Linked DNA regions of Saccharomyces cerevisiae S288C. Each later gene encodes a partner of the first gene's protein in a complex. Each region holds a gene or a part of one and is shown on either strand. Other genes may lie near its edges. A codon is read from its position in the direction of its gene.

Evidence for each region.
Region 2: the proteins of CDC5 (region 1) and DBF4 are in contact, whole or in part, in a crystal structure (PDB 6MF6), measured with the Saccharomyces cerevisiae proteins. Residues at the interface, in NP_013714.1 of Saccharomyces cerevisiae: Glu553 (codon at 1,136), Trp555 (codon at 1,130), Trp565 (codon at 1,100), Val566 (codon at 1,097), Ala567 (codon at 1,094), His569 (codon at 1,088), Asp611 (codon at 962), Asp612 (codon at 959), Val613 (codon at 956), Phe614 (codon at 953), Arg616 (codon at 947), Ser630 (codon at 905); in NP_010337.3 of Saccharomyces cerevisiae: Arg83 (codon at 4,255), Ser84 (codon at 4,252), Ile85 (codon at 4,249), Glu86 (codon at 4,246), Gly87 (codon at 4,243), Ala88 (codon at 4,240), Val89 (codon at 4,237), Gln90 (codon at 4,234).

What each region holds. Positions count from the first base shown.
Region 1 is NC_001145.3:268,345-272,682, forward strand, and holds CDC5 (polo kinase CDC5), read right to left. Parts: upstream 2,793-4,338; coding exon 675-2,792; downstream 1-674. Other genes in the region: YMR001C-A (uncharacterized protein), read right to left, coding at 3,003-3,233; MIX17 (Mix17p), read left to right, coding at 3,849-4,319. UniProt on the Saccharomyces cerevisiae protein: Protein kinase required for the cell cycle where it is involved in mitotic exit. A component of the fear (CDC14 early anaphase release) network which promotes CDC14 release from the nucleolus during early anaphase. Phosphorylates SCC1/MCD1 and NET1.
Region 2 is NC_001136.10:556,125-562,185, forward strand, and holds DBF4 (protein serine/threonine kinase activating protein DBF4), read right to left. Parts: upstream 4,502-6,061; coding exon 2,387-4,501; downstream 1-2,386. Other genes in the region: triose-phosphate isomerase TPI1, read right to left, coding at 1-348; acid phosphatase DET1, read right to left, coding at 932-1,936; SCF E2 ubiquitin-protein ligase catalytic subunit CDC34, read right to left, coding at 5,316-6,061. UniProt on the Saccharomyces cerevisiae protein: Regulatory subunit of the CDC7-DBF4 kinase, also called DBF4-dependent kinase (DDK), which is involved in cell cycle regulation of premitotic and premeiotic chromosome replication and in chromosome segregation.

The DNA.
Region 1 (4,338 bases):
TTAATTTCGCAATTTGTTGATGAGAAGTTCTGGCTACCTTAGTCACTATTTATTTTACTATGGCGGTATAAGTTTCTCCCGCCTTGAAAAAAGGAATACAGTAATAAAATGAATATAAATCAGGATTTTTTGGATTTTAACTAGGTAACAAAGAATTAGCAAATAACTGCCCATAATAGTATTCTTAAGTTTGTAGATACATGTCAAGTAAGCCAGCTTTTGATAAAACTTAAAAATTGGTAAACCGCGGATGTACCAAGTGAATAGCTTTCAAAATTAATGTTGTCACTCTTCCAATGGGCACCTGTAAGAATAATTAAAAAGAAATCTAGGTTCAAAACAATATTTTTGAGAAAATCTCAGGAAGCGACAGGTTATCATCCCATACATACAATATGAATACAAAAGCATGGCAATTTTGAATAGATATAGCTCTAGAACCGCTCAGGCGAAAAAAAACGCTATATGAGAACTATTGAAAAGGAAGAACTAACATGAAAGATGTTTGTTCATTTCGTACCTTTAGAAAAAGGGTATTAATGCTAGGGGTAAATATTATATATTATCTTCGTTAAGGGCAAGACCATTTATTTTATTTAGTATTAGTTATTAATGGGGCCCAATCAATGGACTGGTAATTTCGTATTCGTATTTCTTTCTACTTTAATATTGGTTTAATCTACGGTAACAATTGTGGACTTCTGCTTCAAACCTTCCTTTATCAAAGTTAGTTTCTCTCTAAAGTTACTTTCTGGATATCCTGGGATCTCGCCATATTTTAGTACTTCAACTAAGGGATATGTGGTGCTTTCATGGGAGGGAGAAATGTAGGTCACCAATTTACCTCCGTCGGATATTGCCATTTTATGATGATCTTTGAAATTGAACTGGAAAGTACCATCACTTAGTTCAAACATAACAAATGGTTTATACCTTGTGTATCTTCTCAAAAATACATCATCTTTATGATATTCTTCTCTGCCAAACGTAGATACTCGGCTCAAATTTGCCTTCATGTACTTGGCAAAAAAATCAACTACTTCTAAATGTCTACTTAGCTCTCGTGGTTTTTCGCTCAATAAATAATGACTTGCTACCCAACCTTCCCGATCGTCATAACTAATATACCAAAACTCTTCTGCATCTGCCAATCGGAGAACTGTGGTGCCATTATTAAATAAGACACCAATATCCTCTGTTGATAACTGATAGGAGAATCCGTGTTTGTTGGAGTAGTCGACCCACTTGGTAACTATCATTGGGTGTTTAATTTTAGGCAATCTTGATTTCGGAAGACCTCCCATTTTATACTGAGCTTCTGCTTCTACAATGCCATTCAAAGTAAGATGACACTCACTGGCTAATATTCTCAAGGAGATTTCTGATTTAATGACATTGGTCGATGTAGCTATTAATTCTTTTCTCAAAACGGCCTGTTGTGCTCTACGTATCCTTGCTTCACGAGCCAAATCGTTTAATCTTCTTTGTGCCTCTATATCAACAACCTCCTTATATTTCTGTTTCGTCCCGCCAGGGGATAAAGAATGTGGTAAAAATGGTCTGTTTTGGTGGTACTCTTCTAGTTTATCGATACTAGATTTAATTGAAGAAATATAATCCCTCTTTTGACGCTGAATTTTATCGCTGCTCATGCTTTCTAATAGTAGAGATTTTTCCATGCAATCTTTGAAGTTAACCAGTGACTGCTCTTCAGGAATATCCTCAAAATTTGGTGCTTCTGACATGACCGTCGAAGGAATAGATGGTGGGAAAGTTCCCCTAAACCATACATAATCCATAATTTCAGTCAAAGAGGGCCTTTCTATTGGATCTAAGGATAGAATGTCTCTTATTAAAATCTTACCTTCATCTGAGATTGGTTTATCTCTTGGAAACGAAAAATCACGACATTTGATTCTTTCATAAATAGTGTTTACATCTCTTGCTTGGAAGGGTGGCTTACCAATCAACAAAGCATAAAGCATAACACCTAATGACCAAATATCTACTTCAAATGAATGTCCAGAATGCTTACCCATCAACACTTCAGGTGCGATGTAATTAGGTGTTCCGCATATGGTGTATTTACGTTCACTTTCATTCGCCAACACAGCTGCCAGACCGAAGTCACCAATCTTTAAGTTATAGTTTGAATCGAAGAAGATGTTACCAAGTTTTAAATCTCTATGTATAACTCTTCTTGAATGCATATACTTAATTGCACCACATATTTGAGTGGTGAAAAATCTAACTTCTGGTTCTGTTAAAACTTTTCTTCTTTTTAGTAATTCCATTAATGAACCGTTGGGGCATATCTCCAATAAGATATAGACATTGCTATCATCCTCAAAACAATCAATAAACTGAACGATATTTGGATGGGACATACTTTTATGAATTTGAATCTCCGACAACAACTTTTTTCTTGTCTTCTCTGATTTAATTGAGGCTTTAGCAACTGTTTTGGCAGCAAAAATTTCGCCTGAATCGTCCTTAATTTGGAAACAGCGAGCAAATCCACCTTCACCTAAAAAATGACCTCGGTGATAGTCTTTTCCTCTTGTTTTGATTAATGAAGGTGGTGTTTTACACAAAGCTGATAACTTTTCCCTTTTCTTTTTTTGAGCTGGCTGGTGGTGATGATCATTATTCGGATCTAGTCTCTTTGTTTGTTTAAAGTGATTTTCTTTTCCTACGAGGTCTGCGGTATTTCCCTTTATTGGGGTGTGAACTAACTTGGAACGGGTATTCAATTGCTTATCATTGATAGCTTTAAGAGGACCCAACGACATCTTTATTCGACTTGATCTTACTCTGTTCTTTCTTCTCCACGGCTGTGATTTTTATTCTCTATGAATAACAAATGTAACGTTTATCGATGAATGAAAGAGAGTATATATAGAGAAGATATAAGAAAGCCAATGTTTTTGTGTACAAAAAATAATACTCAGCTCAATTATACAAACTTGACTATGCAGTTTAGCTTTTTTGTCTTTTCTTTTTTAAGTTTTCTTGAAAGTTAATGTAGTATATGCCACAAAATTGAAGGATGAAAAAATAGGAAAAAAAGCAGAATCAGAATTTGACACAAAAGGCTTATTGTTCTTTGAAACTGCCGCTTGAATTGGATTTACTTTCTCAGTGATTCTATATGTATTGTACGAAAGTTGAGTAGCACAAGAGTAACTGTTCAAGATATGCCTTGTTTCAAAGGATGTACATTCAAAGATCATCCCAGGTCCTCGAGATATTTATTCGTTCTATATTTTGGATTTTCTTTATTGGGTTTGTTTTGTTTTGACCCTTTTAGGTAATATCTTTTGACAGAGAAAAGTCCAAAAGTTCTTCCGGGTGATGCTACATAATGCCCTACCCGGGCAACATATAGAATAAGGTATATAAAGTAATAATATGCAGTGAAGTTACCACCGGGTAACGCATCTAGAACAGCTGAGATGAAAGAGGATAGGCTTGATCGCAGATTTTGCCCGCCCTATCTTTTCAATGTTCCTTCAACAATAACATAAATTTTGATGTAAAAATATGCTGGCGTCCTCGTACGATTCCCTCTTCATTTATCACAGAAGATGGTGATGATTCTACACATCTGGAAGGCAATAACAGTGCAACTTCATTTTCCGAGGTTCGGTTATGTCATGTGTGCTTTTATACGGCAAACGCCACCTTGAACAAAGGTATAAAAGAAAAGCGCTTTTTCACTCCACCGCAATCTCCGCGACCTATATAAGCCTATCACTCGTACAGTTTATAACCTTTAAGAAAAAGGATTAATATTTCGAACAAAGAACAGAACAAGAAAAGCAACAACAGCAACAAAATTCTAAAATATGGCACGTTCAAGAGGATCATCAAGACCTATATCGAGATCGAGACCTACTCAGACAAGGTCCGCTTCTACCATGGCGGCTCCAGTTCATCCACAACAACAACAACAACCAAATGCCTATTCACACCCTCCTGCTGCAGGTGCCCAAACGAGACAGCCAGGTATGTTTGCGCAGATGGCCTCCACTGCTGCAGGTGTTGCCGTTGGTAGCACCATTGGACACACCCTAGGTGCAGGTATTACCGGTATGTTTTCCGGATCCGGGTCTGATTCCGCTCCTGTTGAGCAACAACAGCAAAATATGGCCAACACCTCCGGCCAAACCCAAACGGACCAGCAGTTGGGAAGAACTTGTGAAATAGACGCGAGAAACTTTACACGTTGTTTGGATGAAAACAACGGCAACTTCCAGATATGTGATTATTACTTGCAGCAACTAAAAGCCTGCCAGGAAGCTGCACGTCAATACTAAGTTTAAAAGCTCAAAAATT
Region 2 (6,061 bases), on another chromosome or scaffold:
AGCGAACTTGGTCTTGTCAGCAATGAACTTGTCATCTTCGTGGAAGTAAGATCTTCTTTCGGAGTGACCCAAAATAACCCACTTAGCACCAACATCCTTGATTTGGTCAACGGAGTTTTCACCGGTGAAAGCACCAGAAGCCTTCAAGTAGGCGTTTTGAGCACCGACAGTGACTTGTGGCTTCTTAACCAAAGAGACAGAGTAGTCTAAGTAGGTAGCTGGAGGACAGATAACAACTTCGACATTTTCTGGGATAGAAGCAGTGTTCAATCTTTCAACAATTTCCTTAATGGATTGTTTGGAACCGTTTAATTTAAAGTTACCACCGACAAAGAAAGTTCTAGCCATTTTTAGTTTATGTATGTGTTTTTTGTAGTTATAGATTTAAGCAAGAAAAGAATACAAACAAAAAATTGAAAAAGATTGATTTAGAATTAAAAAGAAAAATATTTACGTAAGAAGGGAAAATAGTAAATGTTGCAAGTTCACTAAACTCCTAAATTATGCTGCCCTTTATATTCCCTGTTACAGCAGCCGAGCCAAAGGTATATAGGCTCCTTTGCATTAGCATGCGTAACAAACCACCTGTCAGTTTCAACCGAGGTGGTATCCGAGAGAATTGTGTGATTGCTTTAATTAATTTCGGAGAATCTCACATGCCACTGAAGATTAAAAACTGGATGCCAGAAAAGGGGTGTCCAGGTGTAACATCAATAGAGGAAGCTGAAAAGTCTTAGAACGGGTAATCTTCCACCAACCTGATGGGTTCCTAGATATAATCTCGAAGGGAATAAGTAGGGTGATACCGCAGAAGTGTCTGAATGTATTAAGGTCCTCACAGTTTAAATCCCGCTCACACTAACGTAGGATTATTATAACTCAAAAAAATGGCATTATTCTAAGTAAGTTAAATATCCGTAATCTTTAAACACTATGTAGTTAGGTCTCCCTCACAATCAGTCCATTTGGGTAGCACGGTCCTCAGGACGTATCTATTGATGGATTCGTCCAGTTCCATCACCATTACGCTCCCGTTAGGAACATTGGTAAACGATTCAAACTCTTCGTATGTCCATCTAAACCATTTCATCAGGAATACTCTGGAATAAATACCATGTGTAACTAGGACAACAACATCTCTGGGTCTTCTCTCTTGCCTATCATGGAAGTGCCTGAATAAAGTCTCTTGGAAACTGGCGACTCTGTCATATACATCTGCCGCACTTTCTCCATGAGGGAATCTGAAGAAGAAATGACCATACGTAGATCTCTTCTTCATAACGTCCTGCATGCTATTGATTTTTTGGAAATTACCAAAATCTTGTTCCCTTATTCTTGGCTCATCCTTAACCCGATATTGCAGATAACATTTTCCAGGCTTCCCTTCACAAATATTATCTTCATTATTTTCGTAAACACCACCAGTATTATTAAGTCCTCTCGGCCAAAATGCATGTTTCTGTTTACCATGTGGATCATATCTCATATCTTCACATATACGAACACCACTGTTTAATTCATTATATTCATCGATGACGTCCAAAATACCTTTCAATGTTTCCCTTGCTCTTCTATAGGGTGATGTATAAAAAACTATGTTTGTGTCTTTTTCTCTACTCAGCCTGGTATAGTCCTTCAGCGGTAAAGTTCTCCTGCTACTTTCATCTTTAATATACTTCTTAGCCAAATCCTCCACCAAGTTGTGATCGTCTACGTTTAAAACACGTAATAAGTCAATACCAGCTTGTCTAGCTTGGATTTGACCTGTTTTCGTTAAAGAAATCAGATGGTTAGGAATATAACCATTGACCTCCTTGTTTTTATTTGATTCGCTTTCCCCATGCCTTATTAGTACAATTAACCTAGGTCTGGCATTCGTAAAAGAACCGTGACTGCCAGCAACATCTTCACTAACATGAACATTCTCTTCACACATTTCTTTTACTAATACTCTGAGTTATTCAAATGGAATGCTGTAGCGTAAGTTCTTTTATGTTGAACCATGAATACGAGCTGCAATTAATGCAGTTGAGAACTAGCTTTTTTTTTTTCATGCCTCTCGGTCTCTGCAGGATATCGGGTAAAAATGAAAACTGGGACATTAACCGCGGTGGGTACTCGATCATTATTTGTTCAGAATGAGTTATGATATGAACGGTAATTAATCTAGATGATAATATATATATGTATATGTATATATATGCAATTGATAATATATGGACGAGTAAATAAGAGTTAAGTCAATAGCAAGAAAGTAACAAGGGTGAATGAGAAAGTGATTCAATAACATTGCCGTTGATAGCTTTTTTGTTCCGAGCAGCAATGGAAACGGAACAATACTATTTTGATTTTATCACTAAAAGCTACTGCACTTTACGTCGTGTCCCTATATTTGAAATCTGAGATTTTCAATTAACGAGTCAATAGCCTCAAAATTTAAATCGTTTTCAGCGAAAGACAAATGCTTCTCAGAAACTATGTGTTGTTCTAAAGATTCGTATTTTACACGACAATTTTCACAGTATCCGGAATTTTTTACCGTTTCTTTCTTCACCGGCTGTGCTGTCTGTGCTGTCTGTGCGTTAAAATGTAAGGTGACGTTTGTGGAAGTTGATTTCTTCGATGCTGTTGGAGATTCTGTGGTTGTTATCTTGATGTCATTATGAACTTTGGAGTCTGCGGAGACTGATTTGGTAGCTACCTTAGGGAAATTCTGGGGCTTTCTATTAGTTTCTAAGTGTACAGCACTATCTTTGCCCGTCTCTTTCGAAGGGGCTTCGTCTTTTTTCAAAGCATTAAAATCTAATCTGTGTCTATTTTCCTTTGATGTTTCAGCAGTAGTTGCTATAGTGGCTGTATAATTTTTGTTATTTCCATTTGTCTGCTTTACTCCCAGCTTTCTATCAACCATTAGTCTACTTAATGACTTCATGTTCTTACTCATGACGCTTGCTCTTGTTGGGCCCAAACCATTGCCAAAAGAGGTTGCCACATCATTAGATTGATGTGCACCACTTGCTTTGATTTCAAATGCCTGACGTGACTTTGTTTTCAAAGTGCACAAATCATCCGGCACTTCTTCAGTTTCTTGCCTTGCAAAAGTAGCTAATACTGGATGGTTTAGTTTTGGTGTGGCAGCCAGCTCTTTTCGCTGTGGGTACTTATTCGATTCTTCTGCTATAGATTGTTTATTTTCTTTTTCTTCTTTCAACGGAGGCTCTTTGGTTTCAGTTTCATTTAATAATATACTATTTTTTTCATCGGTTTGGTCAGCATGTTCATTACGAACATCTTGAACTGCGCTATCATCCGTCTTCTTTAACTCGGTCTTCTCAAAATTTTTTGCCTTTTCTTGCATCCATTTTTTGAAGCTCTTGGTAGAATCGTTGCATGTGTGAGGTATGAATATTAGGTTTTTCGTTTGATCATTAACTGATGACGTATTCAGTAAGGTGTCGGCATGATATTGAAATAGAGCACGAAGTTGCAGTGCATATTTTTTGTTTGCTTTGTCTCTCGAGTATCTCTTTACTACGCGCTTATAAGAACTTTCGTCATAATTCCTATCCCCTATAAAAGGGCATCTTCCGAATGAACCTATTTTCAATATTGGGTAAGGTAGTTCGTCTAAGTTTGTTAGTTCTTGAGGTTTCCATTCCAAAGTTATTATGGGGGCCCAAGTTTGCCATAGGTCATAAAGGTATACATGAGGATATTTAAAGTAGTGAATATCGTCTCTTTTAGTTCTGGGGTCTCTATCCGTTGGTCCATATAATTTTTCATTGTGTAGAAGATTGGACAATGTGGGCGCAGCTAAAGAAGCAGATTTAGTCTTGCTCAAATGATCCAAATCAACATCAAGATTTTTCAGAAATCTGGCAGCCTTTTCGTAACTCCAAACTTTCATGTAGTTTTTTTTAGCTCTCGATAAAATGTCGGTATCTTTTAGTAAATATATGTTCTCAACAGACCTTCTTGTGATAACTATTGTGACAGTAGTGTCAAAAAATTGAGTTATTTGCGCACCCAATGTAAGAAACCCTCTTTTCAATAAATCTCTGCGTTTGTCCATCTTGGACTTATTATATGTATTCATCTCTACATCATCAGTAATGTCAAAGTAAATGCGAGAATCTCTTTTCATTATCTTTTTCCAATTTGTTTGCCATTCCAGCAATTCCTTAGGCGTAACCCTTGGCTCGACATTTTTCAGACCCGTACCTTTGCTGACTTGGACAGCGCCTTCAATAGACCTGGCCCTTTCTATTCTGGCCCTTTTCTTTTCATGCAAATGCTGCTGCTGTTGGAGCTCGAGGCGCTCAAGAGATCTTTTCTTCGGAAAGGATTCAGTGGTATTGTTATTGTTGCAATTATTGTCGTTAGAAAACACATTCAAGTGGCCCGCTGCTGTTGTTGATGCGGCAATTCCATTATTATGTTTCAAGTTGGTATCTGTTTCCTTTAACGGAGACCTTATTATCATTTTCGTTGGAGAAACCATTTTCTTCTTTCTTTTCTAAATATGAACCAAAAGCAGAATTCCAAATGCCTTTCAGATTCAAACCTTGAATTCTGAAGATAACTAGCCCTGCAAGCGAATTCAGATCTAAAGGAATCTACACCTGGCTGAGTATAGACTATGCAACTTGATTTTTGTTTTTCTTGGCCTGAGCCATTACCGTTATTATTATCGTTATTTCTTTATTTTTTTCTTTTTCGCAAAGATCGACCTAAGACGCGTTTGCAAAAAAAAAACCATTTACTTACTGCGGGTAAAATATTAAAAGAAACTTAGGCGTTAGCCAAGAACCGATAAGAAAATAAAAATAAAAAAGGTAATGAGGAATTAGATGCAAAGAGATATAGATATAAACACACACACACAAATATATATTTATATACATATGTATGGTGATATATATTCAAAAAAAAAAAGTACAGTAACTTAGAAACTATTAGTGGGACGGATTTGGTTTTCTTATTTCTTTCTTTTTAAAAAACTTTCTTAATATACACGTTTGTGGTTATAAGGTGGTGTAAAGTAATGTAATGATATACACTTTTTTTCTCAATTCTTTACCTTCTTCTTTCGTACGGTGTACTGCGAGAAGTAAAATGGGATGATGAATTAATTTTTCTAAATTTTTCTTCGACACTTAGTTATTTTCTTCTTCCCCTGTCAATCTCAGATTATCATAGGGAAAAATGTAAAGTGCTTTATCGACAACGTATCGCGTATGTATAAATTGATTCATGTTTTGCGTTTGAGCTGAATATGTTTTGTTAAATTTTGTCTTCTTTCTTACTGTTCTTTTTTATATTTTCTTTGAAACTCTTTCTACATCCTCCACATCTTCACTTTCATCTTCAGCCTTGTGGGGTTGTTTCCTATCCATGACGCTGTCGTTATCTATACTATCGTCGTCATCATCGTCATCATCTTCGAATTCGATTCTTTCGTCATCGTCGTCGTTGTCGTTATAGTTGTAAACGTCATCATCTTCAAAGGGGATATGGTTGTTTCCATCGTCGTAGTCGTCGTCTTGTAAAATGACGGACCCGTTCTCATCGTCGTCCAAATCACTATCATACCAAAAATTATCCGCCATATCCTTATTCGATTCTGGTTCATCTAGTTTACTTTGAGATATGTACGCCGATTCAGAAGTGGGCATTATGAAACCTTTAGGGATATCTTGTTTCGATCTTTCCACTTCCATTTTGACTCTTTGCTTGTATTGTTCAGGGTTCTTTCTGTAATCAACAGCGGCATCGACATTTGCTGGCGAGTTGATATTGGGGTCCTCTAATAGAGATACTATAGAGATCAACACACTTTCCACGGTCTGCACGGGGGACCACGTTTCAGCATCAGGTTCGTCGGTCATAGGATCCCCACTTTGATGTAAAATAGAAATACAAAGCCTGCCATCCCTGTAAACGTTTGGATGGTAGATAGCCGGCGTAAATCGAAACTGTGGTGGAGAAAAGGGAAAGTCTTCCGGAAATCTCATTTGAGCTTTGAAAAACCCTCCATGATAAATGGAATCCTCATTTAGCA